2 linked regions of the Sus scrofa genome follow. The protein of the gene in region 1 purifies or fractionates together with the protein of each later gene. This does not show direct contact. Links are inferred from orthologs where the notes say so. Each region holds a gene or a part of one and is shown on either strand. Other genes may lie near its edges.

Evidence for each region.
Region 2: the proteins of UBE3A (region 1) and PSMD14 purify together in Homo sapiens (affinity purification with mass spectrometry; 10 studies listed by BioGRID and IntAct, with this or other methods). This does not show direct contact. The link is inferred for Sus scrofa from reciprocal best matches to the Homo sapiens genes UBE3A and PSMD14.

Annotation. Positions count from the first base shown.
Region 1 is NC_010443.5:141,953,212-141,956,775, forward strand, and holds part of UBE3A (ubiquitin-protein ligase E3A), read left to right. Parts: intron 1-388; coding exon 389-693; intron 694-3,564. UniProt on the Homo sapiens protein: E3 ubiquitin-protein ligase which accepts ubiquitin from an E2 ubiquitin-conjugating enzyme in the form of a thioester and transfers it to its substrates.
Region 2 is NC_010457.5:68,106,071-68,110,215, forward strand, and holds the start of PSMD14 (26S proteasome non-ATPase regulatory subunit 14), read left to right. Parts: upstream 1-1,308; 5' UTR 1,309-1,512; intron 1,513-4,145.

The DNA of each region.
Region 1 (3,564 bases):
CAGTAGACTCTTTTTTAATGTTGGTTTTTAAAGTGATAAAATATCAAAAATTTTAGCTGTAAAACTTGTGATTTTTAGTTGTTATGCTTAACAAAGAACATCAAACAAACCCCTCTCCCCTTTTTAAAGTCCAGAGAAAAGCATACTAAAACAGTGATTTTGAGAAGCATTGTTATTCTTTATCATAATATCTTAGGAAATAACTGTCAAATATTTCACCAGTTAAAAAAGTTTTATGTAAATAGTGAATCTCCATTTTCTACACCTCATCTTAATATGCAAGTTTATTACTTCAGTGCCTGACTAACTTTGGCCTTGCTAATGATCTTTGGAGCTTTGTATCTGAGAGCTGTACTAATCACTGTGCTTGTTTGAATGTTTGGTACAGGAAGCGAGCAGCTGCAAAGCATCTAATAGAACGCTACTACCACCAGTTAACTGAAGGCTGTGGAAATGAGGCCTGCACGAATGAGTTTTGTGCTTCCTGTCCAACTTTTCGTCGTATGGATAACAATGCAGCAGCTATTAAAGCCCTTGAGCTTTATAAGATTAATGCAAAACTCTGTGATCCTCATCCCTCCAAGAAAGGAGCAAGCTCAGCTTACCTTGAAAACTCTAAAGGTGCCCCTAACAACTGCTCTGACATAAAAATGAACAGGAAGGAAGGACAAGGAGCAAGAGATGATTTTAAAGGTAAGATGTTCTGTTTTTAATTGAGAATTAAAAAATTTGTCAAGTGTTGTTCTTTTGCTTATTTTGTCTAATTATGTGACCTTAGGGCATGGTAGTATAATGGAATCAATTTTTTTTTTTTTTATGGTAAAGGGCAGAATTAATAACTGAGTTAATGATTTAACTATATTTTACTGTTCTGATCATCTCTAAATAGAAGCAGGTTATATTCCCAAAAGTTCTTTTGTTACTGGATTGATTGGAACTTTTAAGTATTTTTAAATATTTAAATATAGTGAAGGGTAGGTAATCACCTAAAATAGGCCACAAAGTCTATTAAATTTTAGAATAGCTGCACTAAATATCTGGCATGCATTTTGGAACCCAAGTACTATGTGGTGAAAGAAACAAAAAGAGGAATTGGTGATCTTTTTGTATTTCTGAAGGCAAGGCAAAATGTTGTAATAGTTACCTGAGAAACAATTCAGTTTTTTCCTCTAATGTTCTCTTCCCATATCCTGCTCATCTTCTCCCAGGCATTTGGCACACTCATACTGCCAAGAATCATTACTGACACCCCTACCAGAAGTAATCATATTTTAAAAGAGGAAGCTTTTCGTGTAGGGCATATATATAAGTTAGAGAACACCTGAAAAGGTAACATCATTTGAATCAAGTTTAAAGTAGTGAAATGGAATTATGTTACATCTTCTACAAGTTTCCACAATAAAGTTGTTTTCATACTTTCTACAGCTTTATTGAATTAAAATGTGTATTTTTATTTCATAAATTTGCTCACATAGTGGATAAATAAGTGAACACTGTCAGTATGTGTACTGTGGGAGTTGCATTGACTCCAATATACACACGTTTCCCCAGCAAGTGTACACTACCAGAACAGCATGTCTGTCTTGGCACAGTTGAATGCAGCAAGCCATTAGGGGTTATAGTACAGGATGGATGTACCCACCTTGATTTTGGCTATGTGCTTCATCTTACAGGTACTTACTGAGTGATTATGCCCAGTCTTTGTGTACTGTTTTAGCTTAAGTCTGTATAATTTAGCAGTTGATTATAGTTATTCCAGTATCTACACTCTTCCCCACCCTATTTTGCCTGTAATATTCTGTATTTACAATAGTATATTTCTAGTAGGAATTATAAAACTGCATTAGTACTTTTATTTTGAATGTTAATTATATTTGTTAGCTCTCATTATACAGTTTCATGTGTTGAATAGTCCACCACAAACTCTGTTTTTGCAAAGGAAATTGTGTATAAATTTGTAAGTTATTTTTCAGATACACCTATATCACAAAGTATACAGGTATATCATACAAAAATGTTTATTGTTTTCTCAGTAGAGCAACTTTTTATTGATACCCAAATGTTATGAATGTTTGTACTCTAAATGCAGTGTTTTTTTAACTAAGTTGTACTTATGTCTATAAAACTCAGTTTAACATTTCAAAAAAAAAAAAACCACGCTATGTGAATAAAGTACACATAAAAGTACACTATGTGGATAAAGTGCACATTTTATATATAATTAGTAGAATGTCAAAATCACTTGAAGATGTTCTGAGGAGCATGACATGTCAAAGGGTGTGTGGGTCTAAAATGTTGATATTTCTAAGATAAGCCATGTTATGTATGCAAACCAACTCTGTTAACAGCTTTATAAATTGATGGTTAGGAAGCAGAGTGTTTTACATCCGAACCGGATAGTTATAAATGATAAATTTTAACTGTGTATTGGTTACACTTTAGGAAGTTAGATAAGGGTTTTTTTTTTTTTTTCACCTTTGCATTGTTTTTTTAAAAAAGTATTATAATTTTTTTCCAATTAAAATAATGGGAAATAAGCTCCCAGTTAGCAGTTTTCACACTTTTTTGGAAAAGATTACTGATGTTTAGCAGAAGATGCCTGTATATCCTTAAAAGAACAAGCCTGAGGATTTGTTCTTAAAGAGTTAGGGCCATAAAAGACAGTGTTGACAATCCAGTAGCAAAGACCAAAGAGTAGATTTGTGGTGTGATAAAATCTGGTATTTTTGCACTTCAGCTTTTAGAAGCTGTTCATTGACCACTTGCATTTTCTGTTGTCTTTCAATATGAAGCAAATATTAAAGGGAAGGTAGAAATCATATTAAGAAATTTATATTATATATGTTGTACAGTTAAGAATCCATTTGTCACAATGAAGATAGGATTACTTATTTGATGGTAAATTATCCTCTGATTAAGTATTTGATGACAGTTACATCACACTTGATTAATGTGGTAGATTAATATTTTTGTTAGTAATACTGTTTGACCAATATAATCTTAAAGTTAGTACAAAAATGTATCATTTGTTCTCCTTCCTGAAAAATAACATACCTGAATAGTTTATTCAAAACAACAGAATTCTTTGGGACACAGCATTTGTATTTCTTCCATAGTTTGATAGTTTTTATTAGTCTGTATCGTAGTACCTTATGAAAAGTGGTCTCAAAATATCTGTATATCCTTTTTTTTTTTAATTTGAAGGACAGTTTTATAATTTGTAGAGATCTGTATAGTCTTTGGATAATTTGAAAGTGATGATACTAGTGTATTTTGTATATCTGCTAATAAAAATAGTTTTGTTTTGTTTTTTTCTACTCAGAGTATAAGTTAGTCATGTTTGCCTCATTTAGCAGGACAGTAAACTCTTAGAAGTCCACCAGTAGACTTCCACTTAGGTCACTGGCAGACCTCTGTCGCATGCTGTGCCCCAAGTGTACGTGAAGATTGGAATACTAGTGTTCAATTTTCATAGTTTCTATCATAACAACACATCAGGGTAAAGGTGGTGAATAGATTTGGAGTTAGCTAACTTCAAGTGTCTGCCCAGAAATATTAGAGAGC
Region 2 (4,145 bases), on another chromosome or scaffold:
GTATAGTAGAAAGGACATTTGCCAGTGGAGAGTGGATTAAGACAGAATGGAGGCAGGGAGATCAAGGAGATTACTGCAGTATTCTAGGAAAAGAATAATGCAGGTTTGAGTTAAGGAGTAGAGAGTTGGAGTAGAGAGAATGGAGAAAGGGGAGTGGTGGATTGAAAAACTATTTTATAGATTAGACCCTTCGTCATTTCCAGAGTTTTTAATTGGGAAGCCAGTGGGAATAGGTGAATAAGAGGTGTCTACTCTTGGGTCTGATTAGGGAAACTACATGAAGGACATCTGCAAAAAAAAAAAAAAAAAAAAAAAAAAAAAAAGGCACGGGTTTGAGGGAAAAGATAAAGACATGGATCCATATATAATTAGTATTACCTATGATTAAAACAATGTATATACATTTTTAGGTGGAATTCTTTGAGGGGGAAATTGGGTGTTAATATGCCACACAAACCGCTTTGGTTTCATATGGTATAATCTTCTTTTCCCTCCATCCAGTAAATTCTTGATATAGGAATGCCTCGAAGATGTTAGTTATCTGTAATATATCTGACAAAGTGAGAGGGACTTGGTAAATGTGCTGCCCTAAAGAGAGCCTGTAGGGAAGTGAAATATAAACCTGTCAATAGTTATTTCTTGGGCAGTTTTGCTCTCTGAAAACCTAGCACAGAGCACATAATGGGCAAAACGTTACTGTTGATGGTAGTTACCCGGAGAAACGTGAGGAAATGATTTCTTAAACTTGTAAATTGCATTGAGCTTAAAATAGATGGTTTTACTATTTAGGAAATTTTGGTTTTCCTTGAAATTCAATCTCTGCAAAGCGGTAAAGACAAGAAGGTGGGTATTATGTCGTATGGAAAAAAGTATTCCACTGTTTCCCACTCTTCACACCCCTCCCTTTTCAATTTTGCTTCTCAGGTGACCAAGTTAAGTTTAGTTCAAGGGAACCTTTTCGTTTTTAAGAAGGGCCGCGGGTGGACACCAAAACGTAAAGGGTACTGGTCTTCGCATACCTGCAGTTCCATTTCCTAACCAGTCACCTCCCAGGCTGTGTAGGCCTGCGTCCCGGATCTCGGAGTTCGCAGAACGCGCAGAAGTGGGAAGGGAGAGGCGGGAGCAGAAAAGGGAGGATGTCGGAGGTGCAGGAGCGGTCTCGGCGCTAACTTCCGCTCCGCCCTCCCAGCTGGGACCGGGGAAGCGGGCGGCAGGCGTTGTCAGTCCGGGCAGCTCCTCCTGGGACGCTCGCCCATCTCCAGAGTCGTCTCCAATTGGTCGTCGGGGGAACGGAAGCCGGAGCAGAGCAGTGAACCCGGAAGTGCTTCGCGGCGGAGGCCCGGGCGACTCTTTTGAATGGAATCGGGCTGATTCATCGCCGGTTCGCGGAGCCAGAACCCGGCTGAGCCCGAGCTGCTGCTGCCGCCGCCGTCACGGCCGCCGCCGCCGCTGTCACCGCCACCGCCGCGTCACAAGGGTCCAGACTGCGGCCTCTTCGCCAGCCCGCCAAAGGTGAGACGGGAAAGGCCGCCCCAGGAGGTCCGCGGAGGCATCCGCGTTAGGCCGCTGCCAGCCGGGTGCTTTCCTGAGTCACGTTGCCCAGCCGAGTTGCCACTGGGGGCCCAGGAAGTGAGGGTGGGTCCAGGTTCCTTCGTCCTCCTCGCCGGCTACTGCCGGCTGTTGGTCTTGATTTAGATCTCCTTCCTCCAGGCATTTCTGCTCCGCTGAATTCACCACATTTTGGACCCTCTCCTTATACAGGGTAGAACCCTTGGTTTTTGCCTCTATTTGTATGTGCTCTATTGAAAGTTACCCCTGTGTTGAAAAACTTCCCGCCAGACAGAAAATAAGAGTGAGAGGATAAAATTAACTTTCCCGTTGAATGCATGTGTACTTTATCACTTGTCCTGAGCATAGGCCATGACCCCTTTTCTCTTGGTGTGAGGTTCTCAACTCCCTTCAAAAATAACCCCAGAGGTGCACTGGTTTTTAACCTTGAAACTCTTTAAAGTGTGGTTATTCCTGCTATGCCTTTTAACTTACTTTCAATTTGTCCAGTTGAGTAGTTGTTGATTGTAATGTATTGATTACATTTCCAGCTTTCAATAAAGTAGAAATCTGCTTCTGTTACCTCTTGGAACTTAATTTTCCTGTTGACGTTACTTTGTTAGTCAAAAGAAGAAAAATGTAGACTTATCGAAAGAATTTGAATATAAATCTAGTGACTGAAGAGAAAATTACAGAAATTTTAAAAAAAATAGTAACCAGAAGTTGGTAAAAAGATTTAATGGGAAATGCTGAGAGGCTTTGAAAATTAGCATAGAAATGCAGTTACTAGAGTGAAAATTACTTTCTTCATTGCTCATATAAGTATGTTTTTAGTGCTGCTGACTTAATATTTATGAGTAAACAATAAGACAAGTCACTGATAATGTTGAAATAAAAAAGAACTGAATACAGTTTTAGTGGGGATGATTAACATAAAGTGGCCCTCTTGTCATATAAAGCTAGCACTTGGCTCATTTAAAGTTTAAATTATGTATGTTTTAAACATATAAATTGAGCATTTGACCAGATTAAGAAATGTAGTGCCTCAGAATTAACTACAAGATGCATTTAGTGAAGTAGTATTTAGCGAAAAGCCTGAATATTGTCTTAAATTTGTCCCGGAACAAAATTACATCTAGCCAACAGAGCAAAGTTTTGAAGTCATGGTCTTTCAATGAAGCCTCACCTGTTGAATTTGGAAACCTCCCCTCCCCACCCCATAAATACTATATTGCTGTTCTTATTGAAAAGCTGGATTTTAATCTTTCTGGCATGGATTTATTTTGTTCTTGTCTGTAAACCTGTGTTTAGTTACACAATCCATGTTTGAAAATCAGTGAAAAGAAGCAATTGTGCTTTTATGAAATTGTTTTTAATTTTATAGCAGTGTTTGTTTCATAAGTCAGTATCCACTTGTAAAAGCCTGACCTGAATACTGGTGATTTATTACTCATGAACTTGCCCTATGCCCAATTTGTTGCACTCATCTGACATTCATATTCTATTTTATGATATTTTGGTGTCCCATCTGTAAAGTGAGAATTGGATTAAATAATCTTTTTTGCCTTTAAGATAGTAACAATAACAACAGCAGTTGGAAGTACCTGTGAATATTTCAGGCACTATGTTTTATTAGGTGCTCTTTTTTTTTCTTTTCTTACAACAAGCTTGCGAAGAAGATATCCTCATTTTATAAATGAAGTCTAGAGTATAGAAGATAACTTACATATACAGCATAGCCAGGGTAGGTGATGAAGCCAGAATTCAAATCTAAATCTGATTGCCTCCAGTGACTTTCTAGCTCAATACTGCTGTCCTTTCATTTTATGTTTTTTCCCCATGGATTTATTTCATGCCTCCCCAGGTGGATTGCAAATTCTTTCAGTTAAATTCACTAAATTCCTTAATGACTCTATTTCTGTATTACCTTAAATACAGGGTGGTATTTAATAAATGCTTGAATGCTGTAATTAGGAGGTAGGACAAGAGCATATTTATGGTAATTCCATCCTCGCCATTCTAAACAGGGAGAAATCTTGTTTTCAAAATCTTATTTATATAATTAAGTTTAATGTTGACTCTGAACATTAAACTTAGTTTTTCCACTGAAGAAAGCCCTTAAGAAAAGTGAGAGAAATAAGTTCTTAATTACTTTCCACAAATCAGACAGTAGAGGAATTAGAAATACAGTGAGATCACAAATATGGAGTAGTTTAAAAAGGATTTATTGGAGTTCCCCTTGTGGTGCAGTGGAAACAAATCCTACTAGGAACCATGAGGTTGTGGGTTGGATCCCTGGGACCGCTCAGTGGGTTAAGGATCTGGCATCGCTGTGAGCTGTGGTGTAGGTTGCAGATGCGGCTCGGATCTGGCGTTGCTGTCGCTCTGGCATAGGCCGGCAGCTGTGGCTCTGATTTCGACTCCTAGCCTGGAAACCTCCATATGCTATGGGTGTGGCCCTAAAAAGACAAAAAAAAAAAAGGATTTATCATCCATCTGAGAAGTAATAGTATATAACTGCAGCATGGATTGAGGAGTAAAAACTGAAAAGTGAATTAGGAAACAGAGAATAAACCTAAACAGCTAAGGGCTTCCAG